Xenopus tropicalis: one gene and its partners. The protein of the gene in region 2 purifies or fractionates together with the protein of the main gene of each other region. This does not show direct contact. Links are inferred from orthologs where the notes say so. Each region holds a gene or a part of one and is shown on either strand. Other genes may lie near its edges. The genes, in order: vangl2, ptpn3, ywhae, shkbp1 and kctd3.

Evidence for each region.
Region 1: the proteins of ptpn3 (region 2) and vangl2 purify together in Homo sapiens (affinity purification with mass spectrometry; 3 studies listed by BioGRID and IntAct, with this or other methods). This does not show direct contact. The link is inferred for Xenopus tropicalis from reciprocal best matches to the Homo sapiens genes PTPN3 and VANGL2.
Region 3: the proteins of ptpn3 (region 2) and ywhae purify together in Homo sapiens (affinity purification with mass spectrometry; 5 studies listed by BioGRID and IntAct, with this or other methods). This does not show direct contact. The link is inferred for Xenopus tropicalis from reciprocal best matches to the Homo sapiens genes PTPN3 and YWHAE.
Region 4: the proteins of ptpn3 (region 2) and shkbp1 purify together in Homo sapiens (affinity purification with mass spectrometry; 4 studies listed by BioGRID and IntAct, with this or other methods). This does not show direct contact. The link is inferred for Xenopus tropicalis from reciprocal best matches to the Homo sapiens genes PTPN3 and SHKBP1.
Region 5: the proteins of ptpn3 (region 2) and kctd3 purify together in Homo sapiens (affinity purification with mass spectrometry; 4 studies listed by BioGRID and IntAct, with this or other methods). This does not show direct contact. The link is inferred for Xenopus tropicalis from reciprocal best matches to the Homo sapiens genes PTPN3 and KCTD3.

What each region holds. Positions count from the first base shown.
Region 1 is NC_030684.2:137,172,511-137,179,085, forward strand, and holds the start of vangl2 (vang-like protein 2), read right to left. Parts: upstream 3,745-6,575; 5' UTR 3,503-3,744; intron 1-3,502. UniProt on the Homo sapiens protein: Involved in the control of early morphogenesis and patterning of both axial midline structures and the development of neural plate. Plays a role in the regulation of planar cell polarity, particularly in the orientation of stereociliary bundles in the cochlea.
Region 2 is NC_030682.2:75,075,061-75,081,913, reverse strand, and holds the start of ptpn3 (tyrosine-protein phosphatase non-receptor type 3), read right to left. Parts: upstream 4,217-6,853; 5' UTR 4,040-4,216; intron 1-4,039.
Region 3 is NC_030678.2:46,066,082-46,072,856, forward strand, and holds the start of ywhae (14-3-3 protein epsilon), read right to left. Parts: upstream 3,824-6,775; 5' UTR 3,654-3,823; coding exon 3,590-3,653; intron 1-3,589. UniProt on the Homo sapiens protein: Adapter protein implicated in the regulation of a large spectrum of both general and specialized signaling pathways. Binds to a large number of partners, usually by recognition of a phosphoserine or phosphothreonine motif.
Region 4 is NC_030684.2:78,029,183-78,035,275, reverse strand, and holds part of shkbp1 (SH3KBP1-binding protein 1), read left to right. Parts: coding exon 1-83; intron 84-1,003; coding exon 1,004-1,159; intron 1,160-1,667; coding exon 1,668-1,764; intron 1,765-2,984; coding exon 2,985-3,169; intron 3,170-3,274; coding exon 3,275-3,407; intron 3,408-3,851; coding exon 3,852-4,407; 3' UTR 4,408-6,093.
Region 5 is NC_030681.2:13,191,606-13,197,698, forward strand, and holds part of kctd3 (BTB/POZ domain-containing protein KCTD3), read right to left. Parts: intron 5,214-6,093; coding exon 5,097-5,213; intron 4,207-5,096; coding exon 4,036-4,206; intron 2,989-4,035; coding exon 2,833-2,988; intron 25-2,832; coding exon 1-24. UniProt on the Homo sapiens protein: Accessory subunit of potassium/sodium hyperpolarization-activated cyclic nucleotide-gated channel 3 (HCN3) up-regulating its cell-surface expression and current density without affecting its voltage dependence and kinetics.

The DNA of each region.
Region 1 (6,575 bases), on a different chromosome or scaffold from region 2:
TATCAGCCATGGGATAAAGTGCAATGGAGAGATGGAGCATCGGGATAAGAAGCAGACACACAGAGCCGTGTTTATTCTGTAAGTGCTCCCTCTTCAAACAAGAGGTCTCTATGTGCCGTTTCCACCATGGAATCCTTTAGCAAAGACCTTTAGTTGAACCTTTACCCCCTGTGGCTCTAAAATACCCCCCCCCCCCCCCGCTGCTACTATACCAGGGCAAAGAAACCCACTGCTCCTGTGCCATATACCCCTCCCTGGGGTTAAGTACAAAAGATGCCCATGTAGAACCCCCAGGGAGAGGACCACATCACCCTGGGGAGACCCCCAGGGAGAGACCACATCACCCTGGGGAGAGGCCCATGTAGAACCACCAGGGAGGAGGACCACATCTCCCCGAGGAGAGGCCCATGTAGAACCCCCAGGGAGAGGCCCATGTAGAACCCCCAGGAAGGAAGGCCCACATCAGCCCAGGGAGAGGCCCATGTAGAACCACTAGAGAGAGGACCACATCACACCAGGGAGAGGCCCATGTAGAACCACCAGGGAGAGGACCACATCGCCCCAGGGAGATGCCCATGTAGAACCACCAAGGAGAGGACCACATCACCCTGGGGAGAGGCCCATGTAGAACCACCAGGGAGGAGGACCACATCTCCCCGAGGAGAGGCCCATGTAGAACCCCCAGGGAGAGGCCCATGTAGAACCCCCAGGAAGGAAGGCCCACATCAGCCCAGGGAGAGGCCCATGTAGAACCACTAGAGAGAGGACCACATCACACCAGGGAGAGGCCCATGTAGAACCACCAGGGAGAGGACCACATCGCCCCAGGGAGATGCCCATGTAGAACCACCAAGGAGAGGACCACATCACCCTGGGGAAAGGCCCACGTAGAACCACCAGGGAGAGGACCACATCACCCCGGGGAGAGGCCCATGTAGAACCACCAGGGAGAGGGTCACAACACCAGCCTAATTTTCAAAGATATCTTGCCATATATTGGTCAGAAAGGCCCCATGCAGTGGCCAATGCAAGCTTTAAATGCCTACATTTACGCCTGACCCACCATCCGCACCAGCCTGGGGTAATTCATGTGCCAAATACCCACCACTACCGAAAACCATCACCAGAGCTGCACATCCTGGCTATAACTACAGCCAAACCAGCGCCAAGATTTCTGGACTATGAACCCAATACCCTATGCTATAACTTGTTTTTATTCTCCCCACCTGTTACCCCCCAACCCTACTTTTTTGGCAGGTACCATCTGAATGAACCCCCCAGGCACCTAAATCATCTTCCCAGCCCTTTCACTAACGCTCCTTCTCATGGGGTGGGAATGTCACTTTTTTTTTTCTTTTATAAGGACCAACACTATCACCCTTTCTCCTTTGTAATTCTGTCCCATTCAGTGGGAAACAGCCACCCCCGCCGTGCCCTGATAGATCTACCCACCCCCCCTTCACAGATACTTGACCCTGACACTCAATTACTGGGCTCGGAATGCATTTCAAATTCATTAATTTTAGGTCACACACAAACATTTAATGCACACGCATGTAAATCGTATATACTGACAGATTATACACACACTAAAGGGGAAATAAACCCAAAAATACATTCACAGTCTTTAACTGTATTTTTTTGTTGTTCGCAGCTTTGTGGTTAATTATTAATGAGGCTCTGCTTTACTACACCGTGGTGTTATCATCGCTCCTTTATGGCATGAATGTAGAACAATAAACACCTATTTGTGTTCTGTAGGAGAGTAAACAGGCCGGCCCAGACGGCCCTTCCCGAGAGGCTAGCAACGGGGGAAACAATTGAGTGCAGAACGGCCGGTGTGGATTGGGTGTGAAGTGTAACGTTGGCAGTTCCTCCCCAAACCAACCCGCCCCAGGCAACTGACTTATGACCCAGGCTGATCCGTCAGGAGAGTCCCTGGCTTGGTGGGGCCTTGCAGGGATTTCAGTGGAATTCAAGGCCTTGGGAAGGGAAATGCGGCTGCTGCGAGTGCTCTGTGCCAGGCTTAGTAAGGCTCAGGCAGTGCTGAAAGGATCACTGACACCCCCAGCTTCCCATGGGAATGCCGCAGCTATGGATCTAACCAGGGGAATGGGAATCAAAGGCAAAATGAAGGATCAGGCTTACTTAATGGGAGATACTCCAGATGCTGCTGAAGGAGGGGTGCTGGGAGTTGCATCTTAAAAAGATCTGGAGGGCCTCAACTAGCCCATGCTTGATCTGATGAATGCAGGAGAATCAGGGCGGTCGGATCTAGATCCAACAGGAGGGCTGCTGTGCGGGGCAATAGGGCAAGGTCCATAGGGAAGGCTATGGTCAGCAGTAATAGGGATGAGAGGCAAGGCCGTGGCTCCCAGATCTAATGGGGGGGGGGGGGGGGGCTGGGGTGCAGGGCATTAGGGCAAGATCTAAAGGGAAGGATAGGGATCAGGAGTAATAGGGATGAGAGACAAGGGGGATCTAATAGGGGGGCTGGGGTGCAGAGCAATAGGGCTAGATCTAAAGGGAAGGCTTCAGCAGGGATCAGCAGTGATAGGGATGAGAGGCAAGGCCATGGGTCCCAGATCTAATGGGGGGGCTGTTGTGTAGGGCAATAGGGCTAGATCTAAAGGGAAGGCTATGGATCAGCAGTAATAGGGATAAGAGGCAAGGCCGTGGCTCCCAGATCTAATGGGGGGGGGGGCTGTTGTGTAGGGCAATAGGGCAAGATCTAAAGGGAAAGATGGGTGGCTCCCAGATCTAATGGGGGGGGGTACAAATGGGAGGTCTAGGGATCAGGATAATTGGATCCAGGCTGAAAGAAGGGATGAGGTGCAGGGCCATAGGGCCCCAATCTAATGGGAGGGCAAAGGCTTAGGGTAATTAGATCCAGGCTGAAAGAAGGGATGAGGTGCAGGGCCGCGAGGGCAGGATTTAATAGGATGGCCAAGTTTTAGGGTAATTGGACCATGAGGGGTATATATACAGGAAGGGCTGGAGTGCAAATGGGAGGTCTAAGGGTCAGAGTAATTGGATCCAGACTTAAAGCAAGGGATGAGGTGCAGGGCCACAGGGCCCAGAGCTACTGGGAGGGCAAAGGCTCAGGGTAATGGGATTTAGGCTGAAAAGAGGGATGAGGTGCAGGGCCATGGAACCCCACATCTAGCTGCTACCCAGAGCCAATGGGAGGCCAGGCATCAGGGTAACCGGACCCATAATAGTCAGTGGCACCCAGCTCTAACCAGAGGGCTTGGGTGCAGGGCTAGGGAATATGGGTACAGGGGCCCAAATGCCAAGCAGGCCAGTGAAACCCACAGTAACATAGGGAAAGGCATGTACCTGGGAAGCCAATGTAGGATAGAATGATAGATAGAATGATAGCAGGCAGTTGCAGGCAGCAGCAGGCAGTTTGAGGGCACAGCAAGGAGACTGTACCACTCTCACCCACCCATGGGGGGCACAATGTACCCGGCACAATCCACCCCGGGGGAGAGGTACTTACCAGGGCAGCAGGCAGGCTCCCGGCGGGCATGGGATCCCAGGCACTGGGGGAAGGGAGACGGACGGAGGCTGTTTGAGAAAAGGAGGCGGAGGGAGAAAGGGGGAGCGCCAGTCCTTTTGTAGGAGCCTCGCTGCGCCGGTATTGCGCCGGTATTGCGCTAAATCCACAGGGCGACACTCGGGGTGCGGGGAGAGGGGTCACAGGCGGCCGAACGGGGAGCGGGCGGGATCCCCCGGAGATCCACAACGCACAATCCTTAGGCTGTGAGAGAGAGAGCAGCGCTGTGCCTCCGCCCCCAAGCTCCATACACTTCTACGGCTGCAGCCCGGCAAGCCCCGCCCTCCCGGCAAGCCCCACCCACCGCTCTCCTCCCCCCTCCCTGCCCATTGTCTCACTTCCCCGGATCCCCTTTCTGTGGGGGGGGGGGGGGGCAAACCCAGCGCAGCTTGGGGCTTTAGCACTGATCTTATTTGGGATTTCTTTCCCCTCTCACCTTCTGCTGCTGCCTAATCGCTCCCTAAGGGCTGTTTAGCAAGTCATTATCAGAGGCCAACTAGCTGCCTGGTATATACTGGGGTGGGTGTCACAGAAGGGTTAATGTTAGGCTATCTGCCTATAGACTGAGCCTAACAATTCTACTGCTTAGTGATGTCATAGCCTTAACAATGCTGCTTAGTGATGTCATCCCTTAGAATGGAAGCTTAGTGATGTCACTGCTCACATGGCTCCCTGGTGTGTCTGTATCATTATATATAGTGAATAAAGTACCCCCTATTGTAACATATAGGGATATTATAAGGCACAGAAGGGTTCTATGGCCATATAAAGGTTATTTGTGGCTCTTGTATATTATATAGTGAATAAAGTACCCCCTATTGTAACATATAGGGATATTATAAGGCACAGAGGAGTTCCATGGCCATATAAAGGGTATTTGTGGCTCTTGTATATTATATAGTGAATAAAGTACCCCCTATTGTAACATATAGGGATATTATAAGGCACAGAGGGGTTCCATGGCCATATAAAGGGTATTTGTGGCTCCTGTATATTATATAGTGAATAAAGTGCCCCCTATTGTAACATATAGGGATATTATAAGTCACAGAGGGGTTCCATGGCCATATAAAGGGTATTTGTGGCTCCTGTATATTATATAGTGAATAAAGTACCCCCTATTGTAACATATAGGGATATTATAAGTCATAGAGAAGTCCCATGACCATAAAGGTCATGGAAATCATAGGTCACTTCTAATATCCTCATATTTTACAACAGGGGTACTTTATTTATTATAATATACAAGTTTAAGTGAGTCATGTGACAGAAATGACATCACCAAGCTCAGATTATAACTGATGACATTACTACTCACCATTTATAAGGATATCATTTATGGTTTGGTCCCATAGGGAAATTACTGTATATTATATATGTATATATGTACCTTTATATGGTCATGGGACTGGGGAAAAAACCCAGACCGATCCGGGGCACGCAGGTTGTCCTCTCTCGATGTGCCTAAGTATATGCGCTCGGGGGTTGGGTGGGCGGCGGGGGCCACATGGGGGTCTCTTGGGGGGGTTTAATTGGGCCCTGCAACCCCTCAGTCTGACCCTGATGGAACCCCTCTGTGACTTATAATATCCCTATATTTTACAATAAGGGGTACTTTATTCACTATATAATATACAAGAGCCACAAATACCCTTTATATGGCCATGGAACCCCTCTGTGACTTATAATATCCATATATGTTACAATAAGGGGTACTTTATTCACTATATAATATACAGGAGCCACAAATAACCTTTATCTGGCCATGGAACCCCTCTGTGAATTATAATATCCCTATATGTTACAATAGGGAGTACTTTATTCACTATATAATATACAGGAGCCACAAATAACCTTTATATGGCCATGGAACCCCTCTGTGACTTATAATATCCCTATATGTTACAATAGGGGGTACTTTATTCACTATATAATATACAAGAGCCACAGATACCCTTTATATGGCCATGGAACCCCTCTGTGACTTATAATATCCCTATATGTTACAATAGGGGGTACTTTATTCACTATATAATATACAGGAGCCACAAATACCCTTTATATGGCCATGGAACCCCTCTGTGAATTATAATATCCCTATATGTTACAATAGGGGCTACTTTATTCACTATATAATATACAGGAGCCACAAATAACCTTTATATGGCCATGGAACCCCTCTGTGCCTTATAATATCCCTATATGTTACAATAGGGGGTACTTTATTCACTATATAATATACAGGAGCCACAAATAACCTTTATATGGCCATGGAACCCCTCTGTGAATTATAATATCCCTATATGTTACAATAGGGGGTACTTTATTCACTATATAATATACAAGAGCCACAAATACCCTTTATATGGCCATGGAACCCCTCTGTGACTTATAATATCCCTATATGTTACAATAGGGGGTACTTTATTCACTATATAATATACAGGAGCCACAAATACCCTTTATATGGCCATGGAACCCCTCTGTGCCTTATAATATCCCTATATGTTACAATAGGGGGTACTTTATTCACTATATAATATACAGGAGCCACAAATACCCTTTATATGGCCATGGAACCCCTCTGTGACTTATAATATCCCTATATGTTACAATAGGGGGTACTTTATTCACTATATAATATACAAGAGCCACAAATAACCTTTATATGGCCATGGAACCCCTCTGTGACTTATAATATCCCTATATTTTACAATAAAGGATACTAGAAGTCAAGATTTTCACAACCTTTATAAAAGCAGGGGGTAAAAAGCTGCATCCGCGTGCACCCAGCAAACTTTAATTCTGGGCCCCCACACCATCCTGCATTGAGGCTAAGCATAATGTAGTGGAGGTATTAGGGGTGCAGTAGATTTGCCCCCCCCCCCGGCAATGTGGTTCTGCCAGTGGCATGCCTTTATATGGTCATGGGACCCCTCACTGATTTCTAATATTCTTGTAGTTTTACATCAGGGACAATAGTTTTCCCTATATTTCTATATGTATCGTGTTGAAC
Region 2 (6,853 bases):
CCCTGACCCGGACCCGTTTTAACTACACCTTCGTTTTCTCCTCGGTACTTCGCTATTTGGCCTTCCAGCCTCTCTCCACTGCTGTGCTTCCTGTCTCACTCTCAGGTTAAGCCTCCAGCCTAGTGTGAGATGCTTGTGGGTGGCAATCTCGTCAGACTCGCCTGGCTTGACAGGCTGAGACTACATCTCATAGAGGAAAATGTCTTTTTATGCAGATGATATTCTAATTTATCTATCTTGCTCCACCGTGGCCCTGACAGAACTTTTGCAGGAAGTGTCAGTCTTTGGATCATTTTCGGGCTTCCAAGTTAACAGAAATAAATCAGTTATTTTTCCAAAAGATCCCCTTTCCCAGTGGTCCACAATTGCATCCTGAGCAACTCCAGGTAGTATCCACTTTTAAATATCTATATGGAGGACTGAGAATGATCCAAAGTCTGAGACTTCCTGTTTGCTGGGGGTGATAGAGGACTTGGGGTTATCATCATACCAACATTTGTGCTACTTACAATTATTATTTTAAGTACTAAAATGAAAGTCTACTGTAGCCCCTCACCTTCTAGTAGAAACTAATTAGCAATGTGCTACCTAAACAAAAATTGCTATATATGTCCAGAGGCTGTCCAGATAAGTTCAATGTGATGTGGGACCCATGGTTAAGAGCAGGCCCGGATTTGTGGGGAGGCCACAAAGGCCCGGGCCTAGGACAGCAGAAACCTGGTGGCGGCATGCCGCCCCGCCACCCAAAGATCTAAAAATTTGTGTTCCCATACGGAGCAATGCGGACTTCTCCCACTGCTCCATATGCAAGTTTGGCCTATGGCGCACGCGCGCTTGTGACCCCCCCCCCTGCTATTCGCGCATGCGCGCTCGCAGACCCCCCGCACTGTCACGCACGCATGCGCACTCGGGGGGGGGGCGTGTGTCCAGGGGCGGCCTCGGGGCGGCAAATTTGTAAATCCAGCCCTGGTTAAGAGTACAATCTTAAAGGAGAAAGAAAGGCAAAAACTAAGTAAGCTTTATCAGAAAGGTCTATGTAAATACAGCCATAAGCACTCACAGAAACGCTGCACTGACTTCTCTGAAAAAAAGATTAGTTGTATCTGTAATTCCTGTGCCACAGACACGCAGCTTTCTGTTCTCTGCTCTTTCCTGCTCCCCCCTCCCTCAAGAATGCTAAGAACTCACTCCCCCCCCTTAGGAATGTGGATCTGAGCCAATCAGCAGGAAGTTGACTCATAGGCTTACTAACTGAGCATGTTCAGTTTGGTCTCGGTGTCTGTGCAGGAGCGAGGATTATGGGAACTTTCTTTACACAGCTCAGCGTTTTTTCTTCATGTTTGGCTTCAGATCTTCTGAACAGGTGAAATATGGGGAGACTTAAGGGCACTATTGAGACAACTGAAGGTATGCCTGCAGTTTGAGATTAACTCTTTACTAGCCTTTCCTTCTCCTTTAATGAATGTGCCAGGCTCGTATAAGCCTTGTATATTTCCCTCTTTTCGTCCCCTTTTCTATCTCTATATTGCTGATGTTAACACCTTAATAAAAAAAAAAAAAAGAAAGAAAATGTTTTGAATCAAATGTATTTAATTGGTTCTCTTTATTGTCAGGCCTGCTGTAGTTGCTTATATTTCACTTCACAGATTTTAATTTAATTAGTATCTTTATATTTGATAAACAAATTCAAGCAATAGAATGATTCCTACTCTGCAGCATGAACCTTTATTAATGGCTATTTTCAACAGATTTTACCTATTTTAGGTTGCAACTAATATCCACAAGACATAAGATTGTACTAAAAGTGTAACATACTACAGGTATGGGATCCCTTATCTGAAAACCCATTATCCAGAAAGTTCCGAATTATGGAAAGGCCATCTCCCATAGACTCCATTATAAGAAAATAATTCTGTAATTATTCTGTAATTCTGTAATTATAAAACAGTACCTTGTACTTGATCCAAACTGAGATATAATTAATCCTTACTGGATGCAAAACAAGCCTATTGGGTTTATTCAATGTTTAAATGATTTTTAGCAGACTTAAGTTATGGAGATCCAAATTACAGAAAGATCCCTTATCCGGAAAACCACAGGTCCCGAGCATTCTGGATAACAGGTCTAATTCCTGTACAAGTTTGAGAGCCTCAGTGCTAATTTACTGAATTTCTGGGTTAAGATGTATAAATGTAGATGTATTGTGATACATTGCTTACAGTTTAGGTCTAGGTCTAATTCTGCAATGAAAAGGAACATCTATGAATTGCCATTTAAACTTCTATTCACAACCTTCTGAAAAATGGCCCATTTTAATTTTTTATAATAACTCCAGCACAATGAATTATAAAAGCAGGTGCTAAATTTCAACTGTCAGTAGAAACCCAATCAGCAATTATTTTTTAGCAGTCTACAGAAACCATATTGATTGTTATTGTGGTTTACTGTGTCAAATGCTTTAGCAAAGTCAAAGTAGATCACATCCACCAGTTTGGCAAGATCTGTTACGCAGATCTAGGGTTTAATAAGCATAAAGTTGCACACATTCAAATACAAAAGGACTTGCAACAACACACCCCTTCAACATCTACATGTGCAAACAGGATGGTTGCTTCTACACTTCTGCATGAGGTGCAAAGTGCAAACCACACAACAAACTTGCCTTGAAAAGGAGTAACTTCCAGGGCTCACTGTCTGCATGTTGTGCCTACACATGCAACTGACGTGCACTTAATCCATCACAGACAAATGCCATTTTTTCTGACCCAGTGCTGTGCCACCACTGTTGCTTGATATTTATTTCTCACTTACACATCAGTGAGCATCTTAAAGTTATATCAATTCTAAATGAAAAAATAAAGGCTCAATATAGTACACTCTGTACTAATTGGCTCTACAGAAACTGTCATTGGGAACAAAGTGACTGGATTAAATTGTCAATGCCTGTAAAGGAAAAACTTTTTGACAAGAGAGACAATTACAATCTCTCTCACACCAAAAACCCTTCTTACATGGATCTTTCAAGATACAATACAGCATATGCTATATATCATGATTAAACAAAATATATACTATGAGAATTTATAAAAAGGAAGTAACATCCCTACACTAAGATAAATATTGATGTTCATAACAACACTTTTAAATAAATGTAAAATAAAGCCAAGCAAGCCACTAATACTATGTTACATTCCCAAACCTAACCAGGTCTTTTAATTAAAGGGCTAAGGCCAGTAAGGGGGGCACATGAGTGTAAGGGACATAACAGGACTTACATGACTTTAAATATAACAAAGTGTACTTATTGAATATGAAAGTGTATTTTGATTAAGTGACTGAAATATGGTGTATGGAAACAATAATAATGTATGAAATTTAATTCAAGTAAGAAAAATGCATCTTCTTCAAACCTTGGCTACAGTTGTCTTGTTCACTGAGCAATCCTTGTTGTCTCAACAATCCCTATAAAGTCAGTGGTGAAACTACCAAAGTCAGATTGCTGAGCAAGTTATGTTGGCTCAGGAGAGGAGAGGCTTGGCAGGGCCTTCCCATACCTGTCACTTCCCTACTACTGCGCATAATATGGCCCAACTGCTAAGTCTATACCACAGAACATATATACACACATACTGCCACCAGAACACAATATGACTTTGTCTGAAACGTACTAAAATCTGAGGCATGTAATTTGCCAAACAGAAACAGAGTACGGTACCACTTTGAGAGAAAAAACTTTTACAGCAGTGTGTTGTTCTTTTCACATATCATTTTAGCATTTGGGTGTGATTACAATTACAGATATAATTCTATGCACAGCTTTCCTTAATAATACATACTGTTTTCCTCTAAACATCTTAAGCAATCGTGTGCGCAGTGTTAGCACCAGCCTGCAGGTAGGCGACGAGCCAAGCCCCTCAGTATGGCCCGTGGGGGAAATGACAGGCTGACTCACACCTACAGTGCGCAATTGTGACCGAGGCACAGTCTGTTGCTTCCGTGCAGCACCAGCGCCTTGTCTATTCCTACTGCAGTGATTTACCTGCACCATTCAGATCCTCCTCCCGAATCGCTCTGGCCAACCCAGCACAGCCCGACACTCCTGCCACAGCCGAAAGGACAAATCCAGGGCAGTTTTTGTATCGTCCTCTGGATCCTGACAAAAAAAGCAGGTGGTGGTATATCTCCCTTTTTCTTCTTTTCTATTACAGGAAGCCAGACCTCTGCACTGCTGTCCCACTCCAACACACAAGCCTCCTCCTTTCTTTCTCCACCTTCCCCCTTCCTCTTGTCGGTGCGGGGCTCCACCTATCAGGCTGTCTATGTATATTTTATTATCATTGATTAGCCTAACAGCAGCCTTCTCAGTACTAATATCTAGTGTAATCCATTTAGGGAAAAAGCTCGTCTGTTTGATGGCTTCTCCTTTCCTTTTCTCAGCCCTCCTCTGTGTGTGACATCAGCTGGATCCTCCCCTGAGCCTCTTGAGCTGCTCTCCAAAAGAAAATATATCAACAGAATGTAGATTGCACTCCCCCAGGCTCATTCTTCTGCCCGAGCGTGCTGCTGACTGTGTTCTGGTGGAATCTCTAGCGCTCTAAGCTGAGTGTCACTCTAAACCTTCTGCCATTCCGTGAGGAGCATGAGGTTATGTGCTGCTGTTACATGTACAGGCACAGTGCATTAGCATGGGTATCCTAATCAGAGCAGACAGTCACTCGCTAGAATTATGTTCAGTTGCAGTTCCATTTCACCTTATATGTACAGTTTGTATTGTTTTCTACTCTTTTTTCTTTAATCCCAGCTGATGAAGTTGTGAAAATGCCCTAATTAAACGTATGGTAGATATTCAGTGTTAGCTATACCTTTAATTGTTTGATTCTCTGCTACTAAAATACTACAATATGTGATTATTCACAAATCTTGTTATAGTATAGTTGTAGTTATATCAATGTAATGGTTTTGCCATGCCATTATTTTTATCTGACTGCTAATAATGTGGGACAAACCACATGAATAGCGATGAGCGAATTTTCTCGTCAGGCATGGATTTGCAGCGAATTTTTGCATTTCGCCATTGGAGAATTGTTTCGCAAAACTTCAGTGAAAAATCGTTACTTTTAGTATGACGTAGAGCAGGGTTAGGAAGGAGAGAGGGTGCCATGTAGCATGGGATGTACCTTCCATTTGGTATAGTATGTTTTGTTTTTTGAATTTTGTATTTAAATTCTGAGTCAATAAATGGTTGTGTTTCTCACTGAATAATGTGTTTAATTATTGTCCCCAACCTTTCATACTCGTGATCCACAGTCAAATGTAAAAAGACTTGGAGAGCAACACAAGCATCATAAAAGTTCATGGAGGTGCCAAATAAGGGCTGTGATTGGCTATTATCAGCTTACAGGGGCTTTATTTGGTAGGAAATCTTGTTTTTATTCAACCAAAACTTGCCCTCCAAGTCAGGAATTCATAAATAACTACCTGGTTTGGGGGCACTGAGAGCAACATCCAAGGGGTTGGGGAGCAACATGTTGCCCCCGAGTCACTGGTTGGGGATCACTGACGTAGAGAGTAATATTCTGAGACAATTTGCAGTTGGTCTTCATTTTTTTTATTTGTAGTTTTTTTAGTTATTTTACTTTTTGTTCAGCAGCTCTGCAGTTTGTAGTTTAAGCAGCTTTTTGGTTGCTAGGATCCAATTTACCTTAGCGGCCAGGGAGCAATTTGAATGAAAGGATGGTAAATGAATAAGAGAGGACCTAAATTTAAAAACAATTAACATTGACAATTAAACTGTAGCCTCACCAAGTAATAGTTTTTTGGCTGCTGGGGACTGTGACTCCCATTTGAAAGCTGCAAAGAGTTAGAAGAAAAAGGCAAGTATTTTAAAAACTATAAGAAATAAATAATGAAGACCAATGGACAAGTTGCTTAGAATAGGCATTTCTATAACATACTAAAAGATAATTTAAAGGTGAGCCACCCTTATTATTAACTATATAGCATGTTTATGATTTTAGTTACCTTCCCTGCAGTATTGTATGTCAGTTAGAGAATGTTACACGTTAGTCTTTTATAATGCCATAGTTGGCTGTACAGTAGAATTACATTCCTTATGATATTTCTAGGCAGGTGTTTGCAACTAAAACATACAACCATGCAAAAATTCTTAAGAGTAGGAACAGATCTGTCGGTGGAGCAATCTAGTGTGATTAGTACCGTTTTTATCTCTGCTACAAGTAGCGACAATCAAAGCTCTCTGCAGGTCCCTTGCAGGCAGGGCCGCTGTTAAAAACTGGGAACCCATGAAAACAAGCACATACAGTATGGCCACTTGTGTTCACTATACAAACAATCATCTAGCAGGTAGGTATTTTGGGGACAAAAGGTTGGACTTGTTTGATGTATTTTTTTCAATGTAGGACATAGCTGATAATTCAAAAAATAGATCCCAATATATACAATTATGTGCTATGTAGCCTGTGCCTTTTCTCCTTTTTTCAAGGTTGAATGGCTGCCCCCATGGCTACACAGCAGCTTATTTATATTAGCTATAGTACTGCTACTCTAGCAAATACACAACTTTACCTGTGCAGGGTAAATACTTTAATACACTTTCATTTTTGGCGTTACTGTTCCTTTAAAAAAAAACTTCATATTGTGCCTGCACCCAGAAGCAATGAATGCACCGAGTGCAGGCACACACAGCTGTTTTTCTTTTATAGTGGAAGCCTTTTGACATATTCTGTCTATCTATGATGAATTTTTAACAATTCAGTATTTTGAATTCTTATTTTTACAAAGACTTGTGGGGAACTGTATTCAAACTGGGTTCACAAAATTTTAATTCAAAGGA
Region 3 (6,775 bases), on a different chromosome or scaffold from region 2:
TCACCTGGTAACCCTAGAATCTGCAAAGGCCCAGACTCTGGCAGATAGGATGACTATTTACACCAGCACAACTGAGACATCCATGTGTATAGCTAAACCAAGGAAACATGCATACCACAAGGCCAAAAAATGGCCTGCTTGTAGCATGCTTTAAACTTTTGTGTGAGATCTACAGGACGTCTTGAAGCCAGAGACTAGTTTAGCTTAGTTATATCTGAAGCCACCTGGTTTGGATGCAAGAAGAGCATGTTTCAGTGTCTATTAGGTCCTAACACTTGAAAAGAAAATAAAAAACTACAGCTGATTAAATTTTACCAGTGGGATTTTATTCTTATACCCTGCGTGCGCCACACATTCATAAGGTCAGTGAGGTTGTGGCAGAATTGAATTTGAAGCAAATGCCCAGAATGTTTTACAGCAATGCTGTCCAATGGGAGGCCCACAGGACAGATGTGGCCCTCCAATGGAATTTTATAGCCCCCCTGTCCACTAAGGAGCTATATAGACTTCTTTGTATGACATTATTTTAAGATAATATGATGCTCATGTGGAATGTCAAATCTACTCACTGCATGAGAAGTTGGACAGCACTGCTTATTACTGTATCTTAAAGGAACAGTAAACAGTGTTTAACATAAATTCAATGAATAGGGCTTGTGCTGAACATACTTTTTGGCTGTTTTTATTATCAAAAAATCAATGGTTCTACACCATGGTTGATTTTTGCAACAGAGCTAATTAGATCAGTATACAAGCCAACCAAGTGCAGTATGAAGGGGAATTATCTGAGCTCTGGTAATATCATTTGCTACCTGGAAAGGACCAAATATGGAGTAGCTTTTAATTTCCCAGTCCAGCTCAAGAAGTAAATACATTTTTTTGTACTTAAAACTATAGGCAAACAGTATGTTTGGCACAAGGCCTAGTAATTAAACTCATGTTAAACAAGAGTATACAGCCCCTTTACCATTTTACTGAATAGATTTTAACAAATATTTGTACTGAACTTTTGTTCCCTATGTGTACTGTTAGTGTATTCTTAAAAATATACAACTGTGTAGAGACCGATGTGAGTTTAACTGGGTAGACCCCCACCCAGCTCACATTTTTTACCTGTTCTGGCCCACAATCTAAAGACTACCAGGAGGGATACCATAATGCAAGAAGTGAAATAGTAAAAAGGAAGTTTAAAAATTGAATGAATAACTGTAAAGGAATAAAAAAAAAAAATGACACCCCAGAAACCCCATTAAACCCCCCCAAAAAAAATTTCGCAGATAACCCTGGGTACCCAACACTCTTCAGGACTTTAGAACTACTTATGTAGACAGCACTTTAAAAATCAGCAACTTTGTGTGTATATGGGGGGGGGGGGGGTATTATCCGCTATACAGAAGCTCAGTGGAAATATAACTCATACAAATGGAGTCTTTGGGCAGCTGTAGGATGGTATAGATATCTTAGAGACACATCTGATGTGCATGTTTCAGTCACACAGTTCTGAAAATTAAATCTCTTGAATAAAAAGGTTCTCAAAACCTGTTCTAATGCCTCCCTAACAATGACATTTCTGTGAATATCCAAGCATTCCAGCATGAGGACCTACCACATTTTGCTATTCACATAATAATGAACATATGTGGATAAGTGGACATTCTCTTGCCTCAGGTCAGGTTCCAGACACTCTGTTCTAGAACACTACAGCATTCCCAGGATTCCAAATATAGTAAACAAGTGAGACAAAGGTAACCACATAAACAAGCATTCCATAAATGCAAGGAGGTGGGTGACTGGTACCCCCACTCCATTAATAAGGATTTCAATGCCTCTCATGTGGTTTCTTGGGGAGTTATCTAAAATATGTATAAAGTAACATCACAGTGCATTTAATAAATAAATTATTCCTCCATATCTAAAATTTAAGTGGGAGAAATTTAACAGAAAATGTATCTGTTCTAATTAGGGGTGTAAAAGAAAAATAAGGGCGGCTGGAGGAAATTAAATAAACCAGATCTAAATAATAATAAAAATATATCAATTTTCCATGGATGCCTGTTATCCTGTAGAACAGTCAGGACTAAGGCCATTCTGTCAGACAGGGCACGCCCACACCTGCCAACTCTTCACAGACACGCACCCAGATGCAGATCTACAAATCCCTCTGCACGACGAGGGACTGGTCTGACAGGAATGAATGAGCCTGGACGCATGAAACAGCACACAGGCCAGGCCCAGGGCGGAGGTGCGCAGCAAGGCGCGTCCTACTGCTTCACTGAGGCAAGGCTGGCTAAGGAAACAGCCAACTATAGAATCCACTTCTGGGACAGTGTGAATTAACCTGGCAAATATCACATATGAAAATTAAAAAAACGTATAGAAAATAGGCTGTTATCTCAGACAGCCTTTATAATAATGAAAAAAAATCTGAGCTAGACCTATCATGGGAAGATTTTTTGTACAGTAAAAGGGCTTGCAGCATCACCATAACCCTTCCTTCTCCCCCCACCCAGATTGCTGTCAGTGGAATAACAAAGATAGGAGGTCTGCACAATAACACTGCACCAATGTACAATGAAAGGATGCACCCAGCAAGCTACTACACCCTGACTGCTTTGGCTGACAGATGCTGGAATTCTGGGAAAAAATATATTTAAAAATTCAAACACCGTTTGGATGCAGCTTTAAGCTCAGTGGAGCTAGATTTCCATCCCATCGGAACGCTATCAAACCCCTGTGCCTCTTCCAGCTTGTGAAGCCAGTGGAATGCTGGGAGTTGTAGTTCAGAGCTGAAGGTTGCAGGGCTTTGAGGAATAATGGAGACCCCCCTTATGTGACCAGTGTGTGTAACCCAAGAGAACTCATTACTGGCCAGACACGAAACCTGCACATTGTCCATGATTCCAGCTTGACTGGGACAATGAGCCTTTCAGCCCACAAATGCCGCCCGCAGCCTGAGGGCCATCCCACCCAAGTGCCATTTCCATGGCGATGCCTTAACCCCCTGTTCCGCTGCCAGACAAGCGGCTTTTCCCACATATCCAGGAAATTGCACCACTGCAGACGTTTTACCGGCCCCAGCCGCCATCTTCCCCAGTGATCCGCCCATAAGCACACTGCCCTATCCCCGGCACATATATCCCTACATCCCCTCTGCGGTCCCACAGCTCCCATGCACTCCGTGCAGCCCGGTTAGCAGTGCATGCTGGGATGTGTAGTGTATCAATAGGGGAGCTGCCCCCCAGTCTAAGCCTCTGTTATTCCTCCTAAAAGGCTGAAGGGTCAGTTACACCATAAATCGCCCTCCGCCCCCCATAGTCTCGCCCTATTCGGCAGTCGCCATTTTATAAGCAGCCTCCCTTCCTACCACAGCCCCCTCCCGCTTGGCCGCCAGCAGCCAGCCCCAGGGAGCTCCTCTAACACTAAATGGCAGCCAGGTCTAAGCAACTGTCATCCCAGAAAAGCAGTCCCTATTGTACTATGAGGGTCTCCTTTGTCCTCCCCTCCCTTTGCTAGACCCTCCGCCATTTTGTCTCGCCTCCATTCTCTCCGCCCGTCGACCTAAGGGGGGGAATTTAGCGATTCTTCTTACCGTCATATCTCTCGGCTTGCTCTGCCAGCTTGGCTCGGTACACTAGATCCTCTCGCTCTTCCATGGCGGTAGCTAGCGGGGATTAAAGGCGATCTACTGGGCGGATGGAAGCCGATTGTCTGTCTCCGTCTCCCAGTGACTCAACCTCTCTGTCTCTCTAGCTCTGCCCGGGAAAGATGGCAGCCTCAATCCGGGCACTTCCGCCTGCGCACGCGGACAATCGCTCAACTCTATGGCAACGGCTCCCTAGCAACAGCAGCAGGCGCGGCACAAATGGGCGGGGCCCAACGGCTTTGCGTCAGGCATGAAAGGGCGGGGTTTTTACCTCATGCTGACCTTATAAGGGAGTCCGGGAGGTATGGGACGATTGTCTCATTGATTATTGTGATGGAGGGGGAGGTAGTGAAATAGAAAAGACGGGCTTTATACTATATAGCTTCCAGGTAATGTCAGAGATCCTTCTGTTCTAGTAGTTCCCAAGGCTGCGTAAGTAGGCGGGGCGGGAGCGCTAAAGTTGGTCGGGCTGCGCTGCGCTGTGACTGGGGCGCAGTTTTCTATTATTCCCCCTTTTTTTTTTAAATTTAAATCACACTTAAACTCGTCTGTGATGCCAATCTAATTACATTTCCCTCTGTAGGAATGCACTCCCTTCTAATGATAGGGTTATGCAAGGAACAGCAGGATAGCAGCCGATTTCCATTGATCTCCATGGCTGTTACTATAACACAGGGATGGGTGAGAGGGGATGTAAGGGCAGGGGTTACACACAGATTCATTTGCTGGTTTTAGAAAGGGATGAGCTGTGTATGCTTTCCCACCAACAAGTCACTGATGCCAGTGGGAAGGCATTTCAGGGAGATTAGTTGTCTGTCTTTGTGTCCCCATTACTGGTGACAAAATGGTACCAGTGACAGACTGTTACAGCAACTGGTGCATTAAAGTGCGTTACTTAGTGACTTAACTAGGGGTGACGGCCCCACAGCAGTCATTTTAGGGAGCATGCTTAACTTTTGTCTAATCGTGTTGCTAACAGGCAGGTTCTGGAACTGGCAAAGCACCCAGTGAACATTAACTGCAAATTCAATGTTATCTGGCTGAAAATTGGCCAGCTGCTGATCAGGTAAGTTAAAAAAATCCCATTGGGACAAGAACCAAATCAGCTTGTTAGCATGGTCCTCCTCCTAACAGAATGCATACTGTCTTTGGATCAAATTGAATCAGTGTGATATTGACCAGCTCAAGGTGGGCTGATACAGGTGAGATCCTCTTGTTTTGCAGCTTCACCAAAACAAGCAGATCATTTAGTATATGGCCAGCCTTACACTGTGCAGCTCTAGGCTGTATCTCTCGGGACTAGTCTTGCATGAAAACGGACATTAACTCTGTATAGATCCCTGGTAAGGCCTTCCGTTAAAGGGATACTGTCATGACTTTTACGGGGTACTTTTTATTTCTAAATTACACCGTTTACATAGCAAATCATTCCCTCTAGCATTTAAATTTTTATTCTTGAAGCTATCTTTCAGAAGGAGTTGTGCTACAAATTCTCACTGCTTTCAGATAATCTATTCTCTCTTTCCTGTAACTGGAGGAGTCCTAAACTGGACTTGGATTTTTTACTATTAAGTGCTATTCTGACATCTACCACTTTTAGCAATACAGGTGTCAGGGAGCTGCTGTCTCGCTACCTTCCCATTTTTTTGCTGATTGGCTGCTGGGGGGAAGGGGGGGTGACATCACTCCAGCTTTAGAGTGACTGAAGTTTATCAGAGCACAAGTCACCCTGGGAAATGAAGGACATGGCTAGACCCATGTGAAATTTTAAAATAAAATATATATTAAAATGACCTTTTAATAATAAATATAGGAAATAGGGTCTGTGTATTTGAAAAATGGATTTCAATGCAGGATTCTGCTGGAGAAGTTCTATTAACTGATGTGTTTTGGAAAAAACATGTTTTCCCATGACAGTATTCCTTTAAGTATGAAATGCATTTTTGCGCCCCAGTCCTTATGAAGGATATTAATGTGCTAAAAACAGTGCAAAGAAGCGCAGCATTTATATTTATTAATTTTATAGTGCCATTGCCTTCCATATAGCATGTTACAGTGTACAGGGATACAAATGCAAGAGATAAGTTTACATATTTCTATCTCTATTGATGGCACCCTCATCAACCCCGTTGATTCGTCGCGTTGTTTGGGGGTGATCTTTGACTCCAGTCTCTCCTTTTTTGACCACATTAACACCACTTTTAAAACATGTCACTTTTTCCTACGCAGTATTGCCAAAATCCGTCCCTTTCTCTCTACTGCAACAGCTAGGCTGCTCATGCATGCTCTCATCCAATCCCGACTTGACTATTGTAACCTGCTACTAATCGGCCTCCCTAACTCCCATCTTTCCCCCCTACAGTCTATATTAAATACTGCTGCCAGAATTCCCTAACCTTCAAAGCCCTCCATTCCTCGCAGAGCAATCATTTGGTTGCGCCCCCACTACTACTGCTGTTTCCCGCCTTAAACCTTTCTGCCTTGCTGCCCCTTACATTTGGAATGTCCTCCTTGATTTCCTCTGGAGAGAATCCTCCCTCAGTCTTTTTAAAACTAAACTTAAAGACTACCTTTTGGAGCACTCACCCAGCACCTGATCTGGGAACTAGCACTTATAATGTAATGTCAACCACTGTGACCTACAGCACTTATACCGTAAGCTCTACGGGGCAGGGACCTCCTTCCTCTTGTGTCCTCGACTCTTAACTTATTGCAGCTGTATTTATCTTGTATTTATTGTTATACTTTGTATTTATCTGTTATTATCTTATTAACACCCTGTTTGTATTAATGTATTCTACTGTACAGCGATGCGTACATAAGTAGCGCTTTATAAATAAAGATATACATACATACATACATACATACATACATACATACATACATACATACATATACACATGAACATTTTACCAGAAGCAGTTCACAGTTGCACTTTGCATATTGTTAGGAGACAATAGGGGGAGTGCCCTGCTCACCGTCTAACTGGTAAAATAAATGGAACAATTTAGTGCCATGGCCCATGGGGAGATTAGTTGCCCCGGTAAAAAGGGACATATGTGAAAAACATGAGTGAGCCAATGATTTGTACTCATCTAAATATAGAAGGAATGTGCTTTGAAAAGTAGTGTT
Region 4 (6,093 bases), on a different chromosome or scaffold from region 2:
TGGTCCCCAGCTCTTCCAGACATTTACAGTCCATCGCAGCTCTGTCACCAAAATAATGCTCTCTGAGAGACACCTAATCTCGGGTATGTATAAAGAGAAACTAAAGCATAGTTCTTATATCCTCCTCTAGCGTTGTAGCTATTTTAAAGTTATTTGTAAAGACATAAAACCACTTTTTGTTTTCACTTTTTCTTGTGTGAATAAATAATTTGGCTGCTATGTTTGATATAAGATGAGGCATAAGAAAGCCCTGGAAATAACACTGGCCTTTACGAGGTGCTAGTTTTAAGGCTCTGTTTCTTTGTGGTTCATTCTTCTTAATCTACTTAATTGCATCCTCATACTGTTTTTAATGCTGTATGCATGAATTTTTGCACCTTAAGCTTTGCAGTTGCTTTAGTAAATGAGCCTTCTGTTCATCAGCTTTCTGTGTGTTCTGTAAAATACGTAAACATTTTCAGTCACCTTCTGCAGTAAGGGGTTTAAAGAATTGGAAACTAAAATTCATTCTAGTTTTCCATGACAGTAATTCTCATTTAGCAGCTACATTTTAAATAGGAGATGTAACACTTTCTAGAAATTTGGAATTTTTACAAGTGAACATTGTTTAACTGAACATTTTCATCTTCTAGTGTTACTAGGCCCCTTATGTTGACGTTCACTATTTTTTTGATTTTGAGTTGACAATTGCCAACATGTTAAGCTATGCAATTATGAGAGGATTATTTGCACAAGTTTAAATTATTTGAATAAATGTTTTCTCACTGGTAGAAGCAGGGATAACCCTGATGTATTTTATGGGTATTAGGTAACCAAATGATAGCCATTTGTATCGGATGATATTGTCTGAAACTCCTGACTGCTGTTCTGGCTAATTACTGGCAAACCACAGATTCCTAGAGATCTGGTCGTATGTTTAACTGGTATCAAGTCATTCACTGCTCCTTTGGATTGCGTTTACAGAGCGAAAATTGTTTCAACGTGTATAACGTGTTTTATATAGTATGTGCAGATAATAACCATGTACGGACATGGACTGTGACTCGATTTCGTGGTATGATCTCAACCCAGCCTGGTTCAACTCCTCTGGCTTCATTTAAAATCCTTTCCCTGGAAGACGTTGATGGGCATGCTGGATCCAGTGCAGGAAATGACATTGGTAAGCTTCATTTTTGGGAGAAAAGATTGTTGTTGTTTTTTTTTTTTTTTTTTTTTTTTGCTTACAAGTGCATATTCGAGCTGGACTAAGGTTTACAGTACAGATCTGTACTGGGGCCACTTCTGGAGAATGATCAAAGGCTTGAGGTATTGACCGCTGCCATTCAGTGGGGGAAATAAAGCCACCAGTCAAAAGGCACCTGTCACATCTAATGTTCTATGTGCAGCTTGTCTGTAGAAGATGGAGCATCTTGAAGTGGAGATTCCGTCTTTTCTTATGCTTCAGGCATGACACTTAATATTAGAAGTGACAGTAGCACAGAAGTGTGTGACTGCTGCAGTTTGTTGCTGGATGGCAGCAGTTGTCAAAAATAACCAATGTGGTATAGGCCTAGTGCTTGCAAGCTTTGTTTTCTCAAGTGACTACCCTTTAATGTTTCCAAAGCTTATAGCACAATTCTCTTGGCTTTCTCTTTCTGGATTATGCCAGATTTTTTTTTTCCCATAAGGTCCTTTTGGAGAACGTGATGATCAGCAAGTTTTTATCCAGCGTGTGGTCCCTGATTCTAATATTGTCTATGTCCGCTTGTCTTCAACCGGGAAAAGGTAATTGTTTTTGTTAGGTGTCCTAAGATTTTAAAGGTTAAAAAAAACAAATTATTTTAAATCTCTCTCAATACTAAGAACAATATGGCATAATTTTCTGTGTCCAGAGCATTCTCCGTCCGTGTGTTTGGCTTTGTTGCGGCCATTTTTTTTTTTCTGTCTGGTCATTTTATTTTGATGCATATGTAGCGCTAATACATCATTAGGCTGTCCCCTTTCATATAGTGTGTCATAGGCATCAGAACCAGGGGGGCCATGGTCCCTAATATTTTGCCCCCAAAACTCTTGTGGCAGTGGTGCTGCTAATTATAGTCGCATAAATAAAGGCCCATCTTCCCAGGTTCCCTATTGATTGTGATGTAATGGAGATGTCGCTGATATTCAATACTAATGAGCTTGTTTGTCAGTTATCGAGCTTTTGAATTTGACATTGTTTTTCTAAATCAAAGAACTCTCATATCGAACGATCGCTTACTTATTAAGGAAAACTTATTCAGATAAACTCGAATTTTCCAATACCAGACATCTGGCTTTTCAAACCATAACTCAAATTTGAGGGTTTTTTTAAGCACAAAAAAACTTGAATCGAGGAAAAAAAAAAAAAAACTAGACTGCTGATAAATCACCCCCTTACTGTACGCCTGGCAGTAAGTCCAACACCAATCCATATGTCAAGTCCTTATGCAGTCTTTCTTGCTGTAAGCATGCAATCCACCATACACCACTGAAAATGATTCTCGCCCTTTTGAATACAAGCTAAAAAAACTAACCTTGGCTATCGTAAAAACAATGTAATAAAATAAGGATATAAGAATTCTGCATACTGGTTACAGGTCAGAATAAAATCATGTTACTGGAGTTCTTGAGCAGTCTGTTGGGAAGGTCAAATACATTATCTATGGTGGAGCTAACTGTCTTTCAGAATTTTAAAATCAAGATTATTAGTCTTCAGATTATGTCCCTTTCAATTATCTATCAGTCGGTTAGACAAAGAAAGCACACACACCATATTTTTCACCAATCTGTCAATTGAGATTCAACTCCTGCATGAAGGGGGAGATTGAGAGGAGCATATTATAAAGTATAATAGCATGATTTCAGAAATGTAGAACTTTTTAAAATATTTTCAAGAAATGAAGCTCTCGTTAAATTTTTTTCGCTTTAGGTCCCCATTAAAGGAAAATATTATTTATCTTATTGCCTGATTGTGTTTGGTTTAGAATCTGTGAGATCCGTTCTGTAGACTGCACCCCTATCACATCTTTTACCGTACATGAATGTGAGGGCTCAAGCCGCATTGGCTCCCGTCCACGACGGTACCTCTTTACTGGTCATGCCAGTGGATGTATCCAGATGTGGGATCTTACCACTGCAATGGAAGTAGCAAGCAAAGGGGAAAGCAGAGGTAAAAATTAAAATCCTGTTTTTTTAGGAAGGGGTAGGCAATTATTTGAGCTTTTTGTACCCCTCCAAGGTACTTGTTTTAATCATGCTTTTGCCTGTCCAACAGAACTTGGTGGCCTTACAGAAAAAGAGCTGCTGGAGCAGTTGGAACAGTGTGACTTGGCTTTGACCCGCACGCCTGAATTGAGCCCTGCTGCATCTTTCTCCCATTCAGCCAACCCTCGTGCCTCCATAACCAGGTATTTCCACTGCCACACACTTTCTAATAGAGTAGTGCATTTTCTGTGATCATGCTTCGTTAAAGCAGCTTGGTCAGTCAAGCTGTTCAGAGTTTGATTTGTTCCACATACTCTGCAGGATCTTTTTAACGTAAAGCCCATAACCAGCATTTTTCATATTTCCGGTAAAGCATTCACCATATCTGTTTTGGCAAAGGCTGTTGCAGACAAGCGGGGCTATTTGAAAGTAAATTATTTTACAAAGAAATTTAAACTTTGTTACTTTTGTGTTTTTAAAAGTGCATATGCACACCATGTATATGTTAGACTGTTCCTGGTTAGCTTAATGGCAAGTATATTTTCCACTTTCTGCAGAGACAAGTTTTCCAGTTGTCTGTTTGTGAAGCACTGTGGTTTAATGACATATTTAATATCCATTAACTTCCCAATACCTTCCTTCTGCAGCCTTCAGTCCCAGCCGAGTGAGAGATTCTCCAGGACTGCTTTTCCTTCCTCTCGACCTCCAGTTCTTAATGGACGACCCTCAGAAGGATGGGCTTCTTTGTGTAGTCTCCAGCCTAACCTTTCTGGTAGCTTTGGCTCTCTCCAGAAGTCTGACACTTTGCCCCGCTCTGGCTCCAGGCCTTGCAGAGCACTGCGTAACCAACCACAAATGGAGGTTAATGGAATGGCTTCCACAGATTCTACTTCAGCTCGTGCCAGTGGCAGCTTTGTGGAGCGCTGCCAAGAGCTTGCACGTTACACAGAGTCCCAATATCTGGGTTCACAAAGGTCAAGTTATGAGACTGTAGCCACCAGAATAAAAACCCCTCGGGGTTCTACTTCAGCAAGGCGACCAGGCTCTCCTACACCTCCACAACCTCCTCCACTTGGTATTGCCACTTCTTTAGCTCCATGTTTACCTCCTACTTGTTTCTCTGCTGTGGGGGAGGCATCTGCCTCTTCTCCAACTGCTCCTAAGCTTACACTCAAACCTAGGTTAAATGAGACCTCCTTTTAAAATAGTCTTCTGTGAGTTGCATTGCTAAACAATTGGCAGCTATTTTGATAGAAATCCTTACACCATTAGTATTTATAATTGTGTAGATTTGGCAGTATTTTTAGTACTGGATTTATAAAACCATGCAATTACTGCTCTAAATATACACAACTGTATTTTATTTGTATTAATAAATCTCTGATTCATACAGATATAGTCAGTATAAACGATCAGTTGTTGCCCTTGGTAATGTCTCTACAGTTGTGTAGTCATTAAGAGCACATGGTTTGAATAGTATTATTCCTTCCCACGTTTAACTAGAAACTACAAGGTGCAAAGTGACATGAAAGCTGCTAAAGAACAGAAAAAGCAAGGGGGAAAATGCAACAGAAAGCACCCTCTTTGTGTCTTGCTCCAGTCTGAGGCTCAGCAATTTGTACTTCTAGAATGGAGCACAAAAACGTGTGCCTTACACTGCATTGCTGTATGCTGCCTACATTCAATGTGCTGCATACAAAAAGGGCAACAAATGTATATCATATCTCATGGGTAACATGAATAAAGGACTACCCAGCTCCTTATGCCCCCCTTAATTGTCTGTCTGATGTGCAAACTAGGTGACTGGCTTGCATATCACACACACAAGTCGGGGGACATGAGGAGCAGGTTAGCCCTGTATGTAACCTTTATTTATAGTGGGACTTATATATAGGGCTGCCTTGAACCAGGCATCACTTTGCTACGCACTGCTTTGCAACCAAATACTTGGTTAAGAACTGAGGATGCACATTGGTTTCATTATCATTTTTCTTTTGAAGGAAATTTTGTTTTCTGTAATCTGGAGATAACTGTGGTCTACCCTGGTCACAATGCTTAGGGTTTAACAGCAGTAACGTGGCCTTATCTGCTACATATATTTTTTTTCATGTAAATTGGGATGACTACATGTCTCTGAATAAAGCTTTTACAGCTGTACTAAAGTCAAATTCTACATCTTTGTAAACTTTGTGTTAAATTTTTTTAAACAATGTGAAACAGGACTGATAGGTTTACATAATCTTTCCATGTTAGGTCTCTAGAGTTTGTTCTGGCAAATTCAAGCTTCACCACTACTACCATCACCACCACCATAGTCTTCAAACTCCATCTTTTTAGCAACATCTCACTCTTAATCTTCTTTCTTTTTGGTGGCTTCCACTTGATGGCTGTTGTGAATCTGGGATAACACGCCTGCCATGCGGGGATCACATTTCCTGCAACAGCATTTTCTTGTGGTCTCCTACTCTTCCCCTTAACCACTTTTTAACCACTGTTCTGCACTTTTTTGGCTTCCACAATGGTCTAGCTCCTCAGTAAATGCAGCAAGGCCTTCTTTTCATAAACCAGGAGGAGATTGTCTCTATAGATCCTGAAGCTCTGAAATCTTGGTGTCCCTCTGCTTACAGAGCTCAACCATTCTTATATTTTGGTCAGGTACCACAAAGGCATGTTGAGTAGCTATAGGCCCAGTTGTATTGGCTTTGGTTTCTTCTGTCAATTCCCCTGAGTTTGTTTCCACTGGGTTTAGAATCCTATCCTTCTTAAACCAGCATCTGAATAATAAGATCAGAGGTGGTGGTTTTTTTTCCTGTTCATTTAGCATAGGTTCCAGTACTAACTTATAGAGGAATCACAGACTATATAAGAAGTACCACATCAATAGCACTG
Region 5 (6,093 bases), on a different chromosome or scaffold from region 2:
GATCGTCCCTTTCTCCAAAAGGCCCTGGGAAAGAACAGGGAAGGGGGGTTAGAGTTACAGTATGGAGACCTACAGCACTTACTAAATAGGATATCCAATATAAATAAATCTAAAGCAACCGGACTTGTTAAGTAATCATTGAAGACATCCAGTTGCTTTAGATTTATTTATATTGGATATACCATGGCCTGGATAAATGATAAATGATAAATCTTCATATTCATACTTAATAGGATAGTTCTACAGTATTATACAGAGAGGTCCATAGCAGCTCTCATTAGTCTTCCAATAACAATGTATGGAAACCCAACTGAAATCAGCCCCAATTATTCTATGCGTTGTGTTTTATTCTGTACATATACAAGCACTGCACCTTTCCCTAAAGAATGACCACATTAAAGGGATAATGAAATAAATGGCCTTATACATGTCTAGTAACCCATAGCAACCAACCAGGTAGCATTTACTAGTCAGCTGTTTGAAACCCAAGATCTGGTTAGTTTCTGTGGGTTACTATACAAGCAAACTTAAAGGAGAACTAGAGCTTAACTAAAGAAGTAGGCTATAAATATTGTACATTATGTTTTGGGGTTCTGTACCAGCCCAAAGCAACCCCAGCCCTTTAGCGGACAGATCTGTGCCTCTGTAGATGTCCCAGTAGCCCCCCATCTTCTTTTCTGTTAAATCCCAGCACATGTTCTGTGCTGCTGTCACTTACGTGAGCTTAGGGGCCCACACACACTATATTGTATATACAGAATATAAATGGCACAATATAACCTGAGCTTAGGGACCCACTCACAATATACTGTATATACAGAATATAAATGGCACAGTATAACCTGAGCTTAGGGACCCACTCACACTATACTGTATATACAGAATATAAATGGCACAGTATAACCTGAGCTTAGGGACCCACTCACAATATACTGTATATACAGAATATAAATGGCACAGTATAACCTGAGCTTAGGGGCCCACTCACACTATACTGTATATACAGAATATAAATGGCACAGTATAACCTGAGCTTAGGGACCCACTCACAATATACTGTATATACAGAATATAAATGGCACAATATAACCTGAGCTTAGGGACCCACTCACACTATACTGTATATACAGAATATAAATGGCACAATATAACCTGAGCTTAGGGACCCACTCACACTATACTGTATATACAGAATATAAATGTCACAGTATAACCTGAGCTTAGGGACCCACTCACACTATACTGTATATACAGAATATAAATGGCACAGTATAACCTGAGCTTAGGGGCCCACTCACAATATACTGTATATACAGAATATAAATGGCACAGTATAACCTGAGCTTAGGGACCCACTCACACTATACTGTATATACAGAATATAAATGTCACAGTATAACCTGAGCTTAGGGGCCCACTCACAATATACTGTATATACAGAATATAAATGGCACAGTATAACCTGAGCTTAGGGGCCCACTCACACTATACTGTATATACAGAATATAAATGTCACAGTATAACCTGAGCTTAGGGGCCCACTCACACTATACTGTATATATACAATATAAATGGCACACTATACTGTATATATACAGAATATAAATGGCACAATATAACCTGAGCTTAGGGGCCCACTCACAATATACTGTATATACAGAATATAAATGGCACAGTATAACCTGAGCTTAGGGGCCCACTCACACTATACTGTATATACAGAATATAAATGTCACAGTATAACCTGAGCTTAGGGGCCCACTCACACTATACTGTATATACAGAATATAAATGGCACAATATAACCTGAGCTTAGGGACCCACTCACACTATACTGTATATACAGAATATAAATGGCACAGTATAACCTGAGCTTAGGGACCCACTCACACTATACTGTATATATAGAATATAAATGGCACAGTATAACCTGAGCTTAGGGGCCCACTCACACTATACTGTATATACAGAATATAAATGTCACAGTATAACCTGAGCTTAGGGGCCCACTCACTATATACTGTATATATACAATATAAATGGTACAATATAACCTGAGCTTAGGGGCCCACTCACAATATACTGTATATATAGAATATACATGTTGCTATATAAAGGCTGATTAGTAGTTTATTTAGGTTCACATTACATGGCAGCTTTGAAACCAGTGTAATTAGCACCAGAATCACCCCTGTAGCATCAGCTTATATAACAGGCCAACCTCATTTTCTGCTTGATAACTTGTAACGACCCCTAAGCTCAGCTTCCAAACAGCTGCCCACTGAGCATGTGCAGTGCCACTGACACTTTCCAAGATGGGGGGAGCCCCTGTGACAACGGTAAAGACCTGAATCATTGCTGCTATTGAGATGCTGAAACTTTAGGCTGGTGCTGTAAGTTTGTATATAAAATACGGCATTTTTTCCCATATTCTTTTTAGGGCTTAGTTCTCCTTTATGGCCATATATTTCATTACCCCTTCTTTGAAATCCAATATCTGATTGGTACTATTGGGTTACTAGATCTAAGTTTATGGGATTTTTATTGTTACCCAAATATCAGTGTTATGTTGCATACATTTTTCTCTATTTATACCATAAGTCTTCCCCTAGTCTTCCAATAGGCTGCAGGAAGGACTTGCTGGAAGGTCTATTTCACCCGTATGTTCCTGACTAAGCTGGAATACAAGTATTTTCCCATAGGACAATGATCCTGCCCCTTGATTTAAAAGGAAGTAGATACCAACAAACAACCTTTTGTGGTACTGACAACTCCCTGTATATAGAGAGCCTCCCAAGCCCTGCATACTGCATATTGTTATACAAGCTATACCTATGTCATTGCCTGAAGAGTAGCTCCCATGGCTTTCTGCTTCTTCTAAAGACAAGATCTTGAAAGAGGCAAGAGGAGTGGAGCCGGGCTGGGTGGAAATCATCCCTCGGAATCGCGTCACTGTCCACGTCCGGACGTGATTGTTATCAGCGCAGACTATTAAATACATTAAAACAAGAGTTTATTCCACACAGTCATATTGAAGAACATGGAAAAATCCAAAGCAAAATAGGACTTTTTTTTCCCTGAAGAATTCCTGCTGTTTTGCATATGAAGGAGATGACAGTTTGGTAACAATGTTGCCATCATTGTTCTTTTGTGTGACCCTCCATTGGCTGCACATATGCTCTATAGTGATCCCCAACCAGTGGCTCAGGGGCAACATGTTGCTCCCCAACTCCTTGGATGTTGCTCCCAGTGCCCCCAAACCAGGGAGTTATTTTTGAATTCCTGACTTGGGGGCAAGTTTTGGTTGAATAAAAACAAGATTTCCTACCAAATAAAGCCCCTGTAAGCTGATAGGGTGCATAGAGGCCCCTAATAGCCAATCACAGCCCTTATTTGGCACCTCCATGAACTTTTATGGTGCTTGTGTTGCTCTCCAAGTCCTTTTACATTTGACTGTGGTTCAAGAGTAAGAAAGGTTGGGGACCCCTGCTCTATAGGAACCCTACAATACAACTGATGAATGGGCCCAACAAGGATGGGACCAGTGTGCCGCCGGGATGTGACCCAGTGGAGTAACATGAATACTCAGCAAAGACACTTTCTCTGTGTAAATAGAATTTTGTTTAGTTTTGCAGCATGATATAGGTACATACTGTACATCGGGTTGGGTACCCGCAGAATACCTGCAAAGCAGTTGGGTTTTGGGTAGAAGGTCCCCAATTACCAGACCATGTAGGCAGTCTGTGGGTACCTTGCTTGGGTGCAGAAGCGTTCCCTCCCACCCCAACAATAATGCTATTTTTTTTCCTCCTTAACCGGAGTGATATCACCGTGCACGGTGACGTCACTTTTGGTGACCAGCATGGAAGGTAAGTTTACCCATTACTAGTAGGGTTGCGTAACTGGTCTGGGTAGGAGGCATAGCAGGGTGATGGGTGCAGGTCCAACTGAGGCACAGGTATGCCCAACCAGACCCGCACCGGTCTCATAGCACATACAATAAACATACAAATAAAGTATCTACATATCTAGTACCTGAAACAAGGTGTTTCTCAGACAACATGATCTTTGTGACAGAACTCCGATGAACAGTGAAAGTCTGGAAGAGCTGGGGGCCAGAGCCAACCGTCTCGGGGTGCTGCACTATCACTCGCACAGCGCCAGAACTTGTACCGTAGGCGATCTCGATCCAGTTTCCGCTCACACCTGAAACCCACAGCAGACATGTAACCATTACGTCATTATTGTGTTTATCTTGATATTTATGATGGGAACCAATGGAAAGACATTAAGAAAAAAAAGTAAGGTTTTCTTGGAGGTTTCTACATAATGGAAGGAAAGTAGGAGCAGCGCAATTGTGTCAGGAGAATTGCCCCTTTGATACCCCAATGATGCAAGAATTCTGGGAAAAAACACATGCCGATTGCGCTCGAAACTGCACTTTGCTCACTGCACTTGCGGATATAGGTGAGCCCCATATAACCAGAAGTTAAATGTGTATATGTATATATGTGTATATGTATATATGTGTATATGTATATATGTGTATTTGTGTATATGTGTGTACGTGTATATGTGTGTATGTGTGTATATGTGTGTGTATGTGTGTGTATGTGTGTGTATGTGTGTGTGTGTGTGTGTGTGTGTGTATGTGTGTGTGTATGTGTGTGTGTATGTGTGTACGTGTATATGTGTATGTGTGTATATGTGTGTGTATGTGTGTGTGTGTATGTGTGTGTGTATATGTGTGTATGTGTGTGTGTGTGTGTATGTGTGTATATGTGTGTACGTGTATATGTGTGTGTGTGTGTATGTGTGTATATGTGTGTACGTGTATATGTGTGTATGTGTGTGTGTATGTGTGTATATGTGTGTACGTGTATATGTGTGTATGTGTGTTTATGTGTGTATGTGTGTTTATGTGTGTATGTGTGTTTATGTGTGTATGTGTGTTTATGTGTGTATGTGTGTTTATGTGTGTATGTGTGTATGTGTGTGTATGTGTGTATGTGTGTATATGTGTATGTGTATATGCTATTTATAAGCACTTTTATTCAAATCCAGCTGTGTATCAGAATTCCGATACAGATACTCACTTGTTTTAGGAGTCAGGTAGACGCTCAGGGCAGTGATGGCATCGTTAGAGGGATCATGGTACAGTTCAGTCACCAGGAGATCATTGTCTTTCATACGCAGTGGAAATTTCTGCATATCTGTAATAAAATTACCCCTTGAAACTGGCTGCTTTACACTGAAATATTCCTGCTTTGTACATATACCTATGTTTACTTAGTTTTATGGTATCTCTCTACAGATTAGGGAGCTTAGTACAGGGGAATCCCTATGGTGCCATAGTTTTATGGTATCTCTCTGTACAGGCTATGAGCAAACTTAGGGGCTGTTCCTGCTGAATTGTGCTTAGTACAAGGGAATCCCTATGTGCCACAGTTTTATGGTATCTCTCTGTACAGGCTGAGGAAATTTAGGGGGCTGTTCCTGCTGAATTGTGCTTAGTACAGGGGAATCCCTATGGTGCTATAGTTTTATGGTATCTCTCTGTACAGGCTATGAGCAAACTTAGGGGGCTGTTCCTGCTGAATTGTGCTTAGTACAGGGAATCACTATGCTGCCATAGTTTTATGGTATCTCTCTGTACATGCTATGGGCAAACTTAGGGGGCTGTTCCTGCTGAATTGTGCTTAGTACAGGGGAATCCCCATGGTGCTATAGTTTTATGGTATCTCTCTGTACAGGCTATGAGCAAACTTAGGGGGCTGTTCCTGCTGAATTGTGCTTAGTACAGGGAATCACTATGCTGCCATAGTTTTATGGTATCTCTCTGTACATGCTATGGGCAAACATAGGGGGCTGTTCCTGCTGAATTGTGCTTAGTACAGGGGAATCCCCATGGTGCTATAGTTTTATGGTATCTCTCTGTACAGGCTATGAGCTTATATACAGCTTACATAAGGCTAAGCCAGCAAGCTGAGTCAGTGAGACATTCTTGGGGAAATAAAACAAAAGGAAAATAAATATTCAGCTCTAGGTTTCCATACACATAAAAGTATCAAGTTTCCTTCAATATCTGGTACA